3 linked regions of the Neurospora crassa OR74A genome follow. The protein of the gene in region 2 interacts with the protein of the main gene of each other region in a biochemical or structural test. Links are inferred from orthologs where the notes say so. Each region holds a gene or a part of one and is shown on either strand. Other genes may lie near its edges.

Evidence for each region.
Region 1: of the proteins of cdc28 (region 2) and NCU01370, one has a biochemical effect on the other in vitro, tested with the Saccharomyces cerevisiae proteins (5 studies listed by BioGRID). The link is inferred for Neurospora crassa OR74A from reciprocal best matches to the Saccharomyces cerevisiae genes CDC28 and ORC2.
Region 3: of the proteins of cdc28 (region 2) and NCU05972, one has a biochemical effect on the other in vitro, tested with the Saccharomyces cerevisiae proteins (2 studies listed by BioGRID). The link is inferred for Neurospora crassa OR74A from reciprocal best matches to the Saccharomyces cerevisiae genes CDC28 and DBF4.

The regions. Positions count from the first base shown.
Region 1 is NC_026505.1:3,801,448-3,805,196, forward strand, and holds NCU01370 (hypothetical protein), read right to left. Parts: upstream 2,578-3,749; 5' UTR 2,451-2,577; coding exon 754-2,450; intron 670-753; coding exon 555-669; 3' UTR 332-554; downstream 1-331. Other genes in the region: NCU01371 (UPF0660 protein, variant), read left to right, coding at 2,849-3,082, 3,139-3,477, 3,544-3,627. UniProt on the Saccharomyces cerevisiae protein: Component of the origin recognition complex (ORC) that binds origins of replication. It has a role in both chromosomal replication and mating type transcriptional silencing. Binds to the ARS consensus sequence (ACS) of origins of replication.
Region 2 is NC_026506.1:1,089,407-1,093,155, forward strand, and holds the start of cdc28 (cell division control protein 2), read right to left. Parts: upstream 2,135-3,749; 5' UTR 1,418-2,134; coding exon 1,381-1,417; intron 1,297-1,380; coding exon 612-1,296; intron 530-611; coding exon 265-529; 3' UTR 1-264. Other genes in the region: NCU09779 (oxidoreductase), read left to right, coding at 2,818-3,094, 3,154-3,749. UniProt on the Saccharomyces cerevisiae protein: Cyclin-dependent kinase that acts as a master regulator of the mitotic and meiotic cell cycles. Required to drive the G1-S transition. More than 200 substrates have been identified. Substrate specificity is in part regulated by the bound cyclin protein.
Region 3 is NC_026506.1:3,251,023-3,254,771, reverse strand, and holds the start of NCU05972 (sporulation-specific protein 6), read left to right. Parts: upstream 1-1,046; 5' UTR 1,047-1,746; coding exon 1,747-2,322; intron 2,323-2,389; coding exon 2,390-3,749. Other genes in the region: NCU05971 (xaa-Pro dipeptidase), read right to left, coding at 1-357. UniProt on the Saccharomyces cerevisiae protein: Regulatory subunit of the CDC7-DBF4 kinase, also called DBF4-dependent kinase (DDK), which is involved in cell cycle regulation of premitotic and premeiotic chromosome replication and in chromosome segregation.

The sequences.
Region 1 (3,749 bases), on a different chromosome or scaffold from region 2:
ATTTGGGCTTGGTTTATACGGTTGAACCAAGATCGAAGCTCGGGCATTTGGGAAAAGTTCCCCGGACATGGCGGCTGCTTGTTTTTGTCTCCTTGGCATCCGTGGCGCGCGAGACGGAATTGTCTGAACTGAGGAATCCAATCAAAAACATTTCAACTTCGTTATACTCTTGATGTCTTTTGTGCTCGATGACTCGTGATTCGATGTGTGTGTGTGTGTGTGTGTGTGTGTGTGGCCAAACAAAGTAGTGGACTAGGTCCTTTCGGTAATCGAGTACCTATCATGAGAGCATGGCATGACAAGCAAAACATCGAAGTGGCAAGTATACATTTTCGACTTTGTAATTATCGTAAGACTTGAGCTATTGATGTTCTGCGGTGAGCTTTCCAGGATTTTGGATATGTTAAGACTATGATATGATGTGTAGGCTTCCATTCCAACACATGTGGTGGGTGTTGCCGTGTGTATGATAACTTCCAGGTCAAATCTGTGTGTGTCCCATTCATCTCGATTCAAAACTTAGCATTGTCATGATACATCGTCGTCAATCATCACTACGACATCAACTCCTCCAGGATAGACTCCAGCTCCTCTTTCCTAAAAGGTAAGCTCAAGTATTCCGTCCCTATCGAGTCCTTGTGACTCGTAATGATTTGATGATCGTGGAATCTGTTTCCGTTCTGTTAGCCGTTGTCCCTTTAAAACCAAGAAAATCATCTCCACAGCCAAGTCACAACAGAGGGAAGAACATACTCCTTTAGCAGCGTCCTAAACGCCATTTCCGAACTGCAAATAAACTCCTCCACAGCCTTGTTGTAAAGCATCCTATACTCTACCCCCGGCCCTTCTCCTCCCGCTGCAAAGTCTCCTGCCCCTGATGTACCACCACCACCACCACCACCGTCCTCAAAAGCCACCAAAACCTCCCCCACAATCAGCCCAAACAATTTCCTCGCGTTCTCGGGTAAACTCCGCAACACAAACGCCACTCCTTCCTTGCCACCCGCTCTCTTGCCCATCCTACCCAGTAACTCGTGTACTTCGTCTACTACGTCCAACTCTTTGCTGTGGTCTGCAAAAGTGGTGCAGTCGTGAAATGCAAAGTTGAACGAGGAGCGTAAGCTAGAGTCCCAGAGCAGAGGGAAGTCGGGCGTGTCGACTGTGCAAGCGAGAGAGATGGCTGGGTGTGAGGAGAGATGGGCGAGGAGGGATTGCGTTTGGGGTTTGCGGAGGGGGGAGAAGGGGGAGTCGAGGGAGGCTAGGAGGAGGGTGATTCTTGGCTTTTGAGCAAAAGAGGAGAGGAGGGTGAAGAGGTTTTGGATCATGGCGAGCGGGTTTCCGGAGGGTAGGCGGAAGGTGGGGTCGATGGCGGCCGAGATGGTGGTGAGGATCTCGCGGAAGGTGAGGGTGCGGGTGTGCCCGTTGATCATGATGATTGTTGTGTTGTTTGTGTCATTACCGCCGGAGGAGGAGAAGAGGTACTCGGCGAATTGGTGCAAAAGTCGACGCTTGGAGCCGTAGCCGTAGAGGCAGACGCTGAAGCCTTGGGAGAGCTCAAAGGCCCATTGGGGGAAGGAGGCGGCGTGTTGCGACTGGAGGGCATCGATATGTTTTTCGTGGGGGTCCTGACCCAGGTTGCGGAGAAGCGAGAAGTATTCTTCGTGGATGAGGAGGTCGAGCGAGGAGAGCGTGTTGTTCGAGGTTTTGTTGGATCCCGGCTTGTTCTGGTAAAAGTATTGTTCATGGGGAGGGAGGTCTCGGGGTGGTGTGGGCGATTTCTTTCGTCGTGCTAAACCGGGGGGTCTGCCTCCTCGTCCTCTCCCCCTCCCTGTCTTGGATGGAGTGGTTGCTGCTAACTCGGCCTCTTGGTCGGCGAGGTTTTCTTGTTGGGTGTCCCCTTCCTCTTCTTCCTCGCTTGACTCGTAGATCTCTCGTGCGATTTGTTGCTCTTCGTCCTCGTCATCGCTTACGGCGCCCTCCAGCACACGGTCGATGAGAGCCCTGGCACTCTTCCGTCTAGCCGATCGGTCGGCAATTCCTCGCCTGCCGGGTGTGTCGACGCCACTGATTCCTTTGAGCTTGATCGGTGTCTCGTCGACTTGTTTCTTGCGCAGGGCGGATGGTGTGCTCGGCTTGCCACTTGGTGTTCCTCCCGTCTTGGCCTTCGGTGGTCGCCCTATCCTTTTCTTGCTGGGTGTCTGCTCGGTAGGTGACTCGGGTTCTTCTGGCACAGAGGCTAGGTCGCGCTGGAGGAAATCGACCTGTTTCCGCGGGGTGGCGTTTCGCTTTGAAGGTGTTCCTCCATCTTCTGGTTGTCGCCGTTGACGCTTTGCGGAGGGAACCGCATCATCCTCATCTGGAACTTCGTAGGGGTCGGCAGGGAGTGGCCGCTTTCGAGAGGGGCGTTCGACTAGATCGTGCTGATCTGTTGATTTCCGACGAGGAGGCATACCGTTTGTGTTATTGGCTTTGGTTTATGTTGTCCAAGTTGTATGGCATGCCTTGGAGTCCCGCTGTACCTTTACCCTACCTCTGCAATTCGAAGTCTACGGGAAACTTTTGTAAAGTCAAGACGCGCTCGCTTAATTGAGACGCGTTAAGCTGTACATACGCCCGGGATGACGCTACCTACCTCTAGATGGGAAGACAGCAGGTACCTGCTAGAGAGTACCTGCGGGTAGCAGGGTTCGCTGCCTACTAACGGGGGCAAGCCAAGCCCCTGTCTACCACCACATACGCTACCTCTAGGTACTTCGCGGGAGGGTTATAGGTGGGAGAGTTCATAGGCTTTCTTGCAACCTCATGTCATCTCAACCAAACAAACTCCAAGAGGACTATCGCGACCAATATGTCAAAGCTCAATCTCAATTTGTCTGCCTCATTGAACATTTTCAAGCTTATCGCCAAGCCTTCACTATGTCTGCCCCACGCTACAGTTCCAACGTTCAACGACCTGCCCATCCCTCTTAACAAAGCCTTCTCCGGCAATGGCGAGAAGAAGGTTGACATAAAGGCTGTCGTGCTCGACAAAGATGACTGCTTTGCCTATCCTGATCACAATGAAGTGTATGAGGCTTACAAGGTGGGTTGTCTCTCGTCCCAATTCCATTCAGGAACGCTTTGACTGATTAAGCCAAGGAACGCATGGAGGCTCTACGAGCAGCATACCCAGGACGCCGTCTTCTGATCGTTTCCAACACTGCTGGTGCCCTAAGCTGGGACAAGGACGGCCAGATGGCATCCGCAGTTGAAAAGGCCACCGGCATCACTGTTCTCCCCCATGGTGTGAAAAAGCCAGGCTGTGGAGACGAGATCATGTCCTACTTCCGTGCCCACCCGGAAACCGGTGTCACCAGTCCTCACCAGATCGCCGTCGTGGGAGACCGACTGGCCACTGACATGATGCTTGCCAACATGATGGGCAGCTATGGTATTTGGATCAAGGATGGAGTTGTTCCCCACCAGCAGAAGAGCATCGTAAGTGAAACCCTGCAACCAAGCTGCGTGATAAGCCAAAGTCTTTTGCTGACTGGGATATGATAGTGGTCGAGAGTTGAGAGGACTGTTGCGCCCTTCCTTGTATCCCGTGGTTATACCGCTCCTGAGCCAGTGAGCCCCTTTGAGTAACTGCATTTTGTGCTTCTCCAGGGAAAGAAGACAGCGTGTAGTAATGTATGTTTTCTGCATATCCCCAGTAGCTGAGGTGGGTTCTTCTTTTCTTTCGCATCTGTGCCCCATTCTCTTTAATT
Region 2 (3,749 bases):
TCGAATATCATGTTTCCGAGTATCCTGAAAGCAAAGTGGGATGCTATGATATGCTTCAGGTGTGATAATGACAGTTTGTTTCTGTCACCGTTTCGGTGTGTCGACCTCACTCGCTACTGGTAGAATCACAAAGACTGTACCCTTGCCACGAACTGCCCACTTTGAAGTCACCGAGATCCAACCGAACCTAAGCAGCCGGCTGCAAAACTTGGATAGTCGATCTGCTATTGCCTAACGCTCCTGCTTCGACCTTGGCGAACGTCCCTAGGCGTATCTGCTGCTGTCGCGGTATTTGCTCTTTGGCTTGGGGTTGTAGTCTTCAAAGTAAGGGTGATTGCACGCTGCCTTGGCAGAGATTCGGCCAGCAGGGTCGTAGACAAGCATGGATTCAAGTAGCTCAAGACCGACATCGTCGAGGTTTTGGCAAAGTGGTACGTTGTAGTCGCGTACCCACTTGGGGAAAGATGCCTTGAAGTCGGGATAGGAGGTGACGCCGGGCCAGATGTCCTCAGTAGGGGTTCCAAGCAGACTGTTTGGAGGAAAAGAGGTCAGTATAGCGGACTAGGGGAGAAGCAGAAAGGTGCCAAGAAAAGGTAACTGCATAAACGTACCGGAAGATCTTGAAGATCTCGTCAATTTCCGAATCACCAGGGAACAAGGGCTTGCGTGTGCACATTTCGGCAAAGATGCAACCAACGGACCACATATCGACACCGGTCGAGTACTGACGACCACCCAGCAGGATTTCGGGCGCACGGTACCACAATGTGACGACCTCGTGGGTATAAGTACGGAGTGGAACACCAAAGGCGCGGGCGAGACCGAAATCTGCTAGCTTCAAGTTGCCGTCGCGGTCGATGAGCAGGTTCTGGGGCTTGAGATCGCGGTGTAGGACACGGTGGCTGTGGCAGTATCGGACGCCCTCGCAAAGCTGGCTCATGAACTTCTTGATGATATCCTCGCCCAGTCCCAAATTGTGCAGTCCGGCGCCCGTTCCTTCGGGGAGGGCCTTGCCCCTACCACCGTCGCTGACAGGAAGGGCCTCCATGTACTTCTTCAGATCAAGATCGAGGAATTCGAAGACAAGATACAGCTTATGGCCTTGACCGCCGTCGGCGTGGACAATGTTGAGGAGACGCACAATGTTGGGGTCGCGCATCTCCTTGAGCAGCGAGATCTCACGGATGGCGGTAGAGGGGACGCCCTCATCTTCGGCTTCGAGGCGGATCTTCTTGAGGGCGACAATGCGCCCGCTGTTAGCCAAGTCGCGGGCCTTGTAGACGACACCATACGTTCCTATGCGGAAGGTGGAATGTCAGTACGGGACATGGAAGGAAGAGAGCCAAGGTGGAGGGGTCGAAGAAGAAGGGGGTGTTGTACCCTCGCCAATCTTTTCCAGCTTCTGATAGTTCTCCATGGTTGCTCTGTTACCCGTCCAGGCCGCTATACTGAGATGGGTGGTTTGAAAGTCCCTGGAGGGAAAGAATTGACTTTGCCCGGAGTCGTAGAACTACTAGTTGGGGTTGGTGCCTGGTGTTCGTGGTCGTCGTGGTGGGGGACGATTACGACGAACGATGTTGTACCTAGCGCGCTGAAGCACAGTGATTGATGGAAAAGCCCAGAACGAAGCGTGGGGCGGCGGCGGCGGCGGCGGCGGATGGAGAAAGTGACGGCCGTCGAAGGGTCGCCTTCTTGAGATTGATTGATCCTTGGAGAGTCAAGGTCCAGCCAAGGATAGGTGGTGTCCAAAGGGAGCGCAGTGGCGGATTGGTAAACAAAAACGAAAAAAGGTGGAATCGTCCGTCGTTGCCGTCAAAAGGCTACAGTACTAGCTACCGTAAATACTTTGTTTTGGTGTTGACTTTTGGTGGTGATGATGGTGCCGTGAATGGTCGACGGGTCGTCCTGGGCGGAGGGCTGAATGCGAAAGGCCGCTGATGAAAAGGCAATATGATGCAGCGAGCGATGTAATTGTCGTCCGTTGTTCCTGCAACTTCTTGATACTAAGGGACCGTGATGGTGAAGGGACAGAAATCCAAGGAAGGAGAGGCGGTGGACGTGCAAGTGGAAGTTGAGGTTGTGAAGTTGTGGTTGTCGTTCGAGTGTCGGATTTAGAGGGCAGTCCAGGGGGGTGGTCCGCTGTACTGTAGTGCAGTAGGTAGGTTTTATTCCAGACGGGCATCCGAGTGCAGGTGGTTGGAGACGGGACGATTACGTCTTAGACTTGGCGCTTGCAACGGAAATCCGTGTCAACACAAAAAGCGCGGACCGCGACGGCACCATGGAAACCACTCACTGGAGGGACGGACTGCAAGGGAGGAATGAACGCGTCCAAAAAATGCCCGCTTTCCTCGTCGGTAGGTACTCCGAGTTCAAGGTAGGTAGGTAAACTTTCAAGCAATCTAGGTACATATGTACCACCTCTACCTAGTTCTAGTAAGTACTACTACTTGGAGCATTGACTGTACCCGACAGCCCACCAAGATGGGGCAGAATACGTAGGTACCTTCTAGGTAGCCACGATCTCTAACTGTTGACTACCCCTGACTTGTGGCGCCATTCAGAAGCTCCAGCCATTCAGACGCCCAGCCCAGCCTCAGCTCGACGCCCACACATCAATCCATCTCGACCATCCGTCCCGTCTGAAGCTTCACTCGAGTCCCCACAATTTCATCTCACGATACTTCCCTACTCCAAATCCGCAACGTCACACGAGGACTCGGAAGGAGTCAACTTGTATACTCATATCCATTTCTTCGGTCACTTTTCTGTTCTCTTTTTGGATATCTCGCTCAAAAGAACTACCCGACTTTCAAGATGATGGGTGGACACCATGACCTGGATGCGCACGAGCAGCCGTCGGATGAGCTGCGGCTCAAGTGGAAGTCGTTCGCCAAAGTCGACCAGAAAATCGTCATGAACAGCCCCGAGATCGATGACTTGCGCAGTCCCGAAAAAGCCCCCGAGTTTGTGCTCGCTGGCTCCATTCCTACCGAGACTTTGAACAGGTCCTTCAGCTATATCTGCCCCGAAGACTCACCAGAGTTCCGCACAGACAAGGACGCCCCCATCTATTACCATCCTCTCTTGCCTGGTGAACTCAAGATCCTGGACCCCTCTTCCTCACGAATCATTGCTGACCAACCCCAAAAGGTCTCTTGATTCTCCCAAACCTCATTCCCCCCGAGGTCCAAAAGACGCTACTGCGCAACATCATTCACCGCGATCTCAACCAACCCCATCACCAGACCAACATGCATCTCCATTTCAAGCTCCCCTACCCGCCCGTGGATCCCGAAACAGGCCTTCAGGAATCCTTCTTCTCCTACCCTCCAGATTCCGAGACGTGTTTTGAGCCAAAGGACCCTTCTGTACACAAGCCTCTCACTTTTCAACAAGTCTTCAACCGCAAGCTACACTGGGTCACCCTAGGTGGACAGTATGACTGGACGAATCGCGTTTACCCGGGCGAGCTGCCCCCCGAGTTTCCCAAAGACATTGCCGGCCTTTTGGAGACCCTGTTTCCCGAGACTCAGGCCCAAGCGGCCATTGTCAATTTCTACACCCCCGGCGATACCATGATGATGCACCGCGATGTGTCAGAAGAGACCGACAAAGGCCTGGTCAGCTTGAGTATAGGCTGTGATTCGCTCTTCATGATTTGTCCCGAGGACTGGGGCAAGGTGTCGGAAGACGAAAAGCAAAAGGGATCCGCAGAAAATGAAAGTGGCAAGAGCGACAAGAAGTTC
Region 3 (3,749 bases), about 2.2 Mb from region 2:
TTCCGAGGAGGCGAGAATGGCGATGCCGTTTTCGGGAAGTGCGAAGGCGAGCTTGGAACGTCGCTCGTGATATTCTTGGGCCGTGATGCCGGGGGTTAGTTCACCCGGTTGCAGGATGTGGGGGTGCGTTTCGTAGACGGGCTGGCCGAATTCGAGGTCGGCGGCTGAGACTGTTGTCGTCGTCGTCGTCGTCGTTGCGTATGTCCGGGATGGGCGCCATGGTGTTGATGGTGGTGAGCTTGGGTGAGATGCGGGGAGGATGGACTTGGCAGATTGGAGACGTGGTTGGAGAGGCCAGTTATTCTGAGCGCGCAAGTGTCGAGAACATTGCCGCAGGACGGCTTGGGGAAGCTTCATGTCAAATAAAGGGTGGTTGTCAAAGGGTGATGAGGGGAAGGAATGTGGTGGTTAGGTGAGAACGAGGTGTGAGTTCACCTCGGCTCGCCGGGTTGGTGGCGTAGGTGAACTTGGTTTGGGATGGCTCGCAATGTTGATGATACGTATTTTACTAGGACTACCGGCACCTAAAGTCTAGCTACAAACTGATCATGGGGTTGTCGGAATCTCAACCTTTACCAACCTCCAGATTCCCCAAGCAACAAGGTACGGCGAGAAATGAAGTTGAATTGCTTCGCGACGGACAAGAGGTCGGTTCATAGGTAGGTATGTTTCGTAAAGGTAAAGACATGGGATCTCGTCACTTTATCATTCTCACTTTTGCTCAAATGAATGCTGACAGTTGCCAGGCGCTTCACTGGACTGCCAAGAGTCCAGGTCTCGCTGCCCGGGCATCAAATGCTGCCTGCCAGCTGCAAGCCGCGGATGTGGAGCCGCTGTTGGCATTCCCCAGCACGACCTGACAGCAACAACAAACCACAGCTGCCAGGCGTGGGTGCATTTTCATTGTCAGCGCTTTTCAGTGTAGGGCAGCCAGTGCAAGCATCCCGGGCCGGGCGCCTGCACTCCCCCCCCCCCCCCCCCCACATTGCCTAGAGGTTTGGCCTGCTGGACCCTGCTGTCGCGACTGTCATTATCAAAACCAAACACTTTGATTACACAAAGGTTTTTTGACCACCCACCAACACCAGAACATTGGATCTTGGCCTGTTCGCACCGGGCGTCGACTGACTTCGGGCGCGATTCGACATTGGAAGGTTTGCGCAGATCATCCAATTGGCCTTAGCCGTTTCCTTAGTTTTGTTCAACAACGGTCCCTTCTTCCTTCCCGTCACCGGAGCTCAGCGCGTGCCACTGCGACGACGGAGCCAAAACCTCCAGCGACAAAAATCGAGAGACGCGTTTTTGGAAGAACAGACAACTGTGCCCCAACCTCCACCACCAACCGCCTCACTTTAGTTGTTTTGCGCCCAGGCCAGGGTCGAGTGCTTCCTTGCTCCTTCCCAGCCAACGACCAACGATCGACGACGAATAATTGTCCGACCGCATTGGGCCATTGTTCGACCATCGACACCATCGATCACCGAGCCTAAACCACTTTGTCTTGTCTGTCGAGTCGGCACTCAGCACACGACTTGATTCTTGGTGTACCATAGTTATCCGGGGTCCCCCTACCCAAACTCCAAGCTAGTACCAGCACGCGACCAGACAGACAGCCCGGAAACTGTCTCCCTCCCTTACCATCCCCGAGCCGGCGTTTCGGAACAAACAGAAACAACACCACACCCATAGCATGTTGACTGGATATTTTACAAGACAACAGTATCGCTAGATCGACATCCCACAGCAATGTCGTCAACCACCACCACTGCCGCGGGCACCAAGAGGGCTCCTCTCTCCGACAACCCCAATGCCGCCAACTCGCCGCTGCGTGGGTCCTCGGCTACCGCCTTGGCACTACAGGGCTCTAAAAAGGCCGCCGTCCGCTCCCATGCCGATCAGCTTAGAGAGGAGCCATACGGTCAACCACCGCCGGCCAAGAGACAGATGATTGAACATGGCGGTCAACGCGCCGCCGCCTCGCCGACGAGCTCCCGGTCCAATGTGTCCAATATCACGCGCAAGGCCTCGACCATATCCCGGCCCATTGATCGGGAACGGCCTGAAAGGGCTTCTTCTAGATCAGGCACCACCGTGGCTACCAGCACCACCACCCGTGCCGAGAGGTTGTATGCCGCCTCCACCACCACCACCACCACCTCCACCACCACGACGACCGACCGCATCACCGCAAAGGAACTTGAAGACCTTAGTATATGGCAAACCTCTATGAGATCTCGCTTTCACAAGATGGTCTTCTACTTTGAGAGCATTCCCGACGAGCAACGTCACAAGCTCGCCAAACAAGTCGCTCAATTGGGCGCTGTAAGTCAACGACCCCTTGCCCAATGCAGGCCCAACCGCTCGGCTTATACTTACACTTCGGTCACAGCGCGAGGAAAAGTTCTTTTCCATCGAAATCACCCATGTCGTCACCACCCGTCCTATCCCCCCTGTAAAGCCAGTCCAGGACGAGAACCAGCCCGTTACCAACACGCAATCGACAAGTGAACAGCCAAAGACAATCGATCCCTCTCTCCTGAACCGCAATGGCGACTCGGTCCGACGCAAACTCATTTTCGACAAGCCCTCACTCCGGAAATCCTCTGTGCAGCCCCAGGAAGAGACGATGCCGAAGCCGAAAGCACGCAGCACCGACATCCTGCACCGTGCGCGGGACATGGGCAAGAAGATCTGGTCGCTTGACAAACTCCAGAGGATTCTCGGCATGGTCCTTGAAACGGACTTGTACAAGGCGGCATTGTTGGGCCGAGGCCACACACCAGCAGCCGCGGATAGGGCCAAGGCTCGCCAGCAGACTGCGAATGTACTCCAAATGCTCCAGAATGAGCGTGTTCACGGCCCCTCCGATCGCGATCCCACCGTTGTTACCAAGGACATCCACTACTTCAAGGGCCCCTACATTTATGTGTACGACATTGAGGAGAAGACGAGGCCGATCATGGTGAGGGAGTACCACAGAGTTGCCGACAAGAAGGACGGCGAATGGCCTCAGTTCCGTGTGGCATCCCAGGGCCGTTGCCCATTTGTTGAGGATTATGATCCCCCTGAAAGGACGAGGCGGGAAAAGACTCAGACCAAGGAGAAAGTTGTCAAAGCTGCAGATGCCGCCGCCGCTACCGAGAAGGCTACCAAGACCCTCCAGCCCCCCGAGGTACCATCACCCAAGCCGGTTACGGGAAAGCGTACTCTTAAGGAGATGGAAGCACCCAACGACCGTGCAACCGAAGTTGTTGATGATGCCCCCGAAACCGTCGAGTCAGCCAAGGAGCCCACCCCTTCGGTCGATTTCCGTTCGCAGAATGCCTTTATGAGCCATACCACCAAAGTTGGCCGTTTGGTAGCCGGAGAGCCCGTCGCTTCTGGCATCCAGGCCAACAAGCTCACATCCGCCATTCGCTCTCAGATGGTGTCGTCCACCACCGGTGTCCTTGGCGCCAAGGCCGGTATCAGCAAGGAAGTTTTGGGTCTTCAGCGCAAGGTTCTTCAGAAAGCTGGTGGTCCTTCTCTTTCGCAAGACTCTGGTGTTCGTCGCTTGGCCGAGATTGGTGTGGATGCCGCCCAGTGCACTCGTGCCGCCAGCTTGGGTAATCCGGCCAAACCCCCGATGCCTGGTATCTGGGAGGACGATGAAGCTCGGAAGCAGGAGCAGGCCAAGAAGGAGAGAAAATTGCGCAGGACCGCGAGCACACCCGTCCCCCAGACAAAGCCGAAGCCGCGCGATCCCAAGC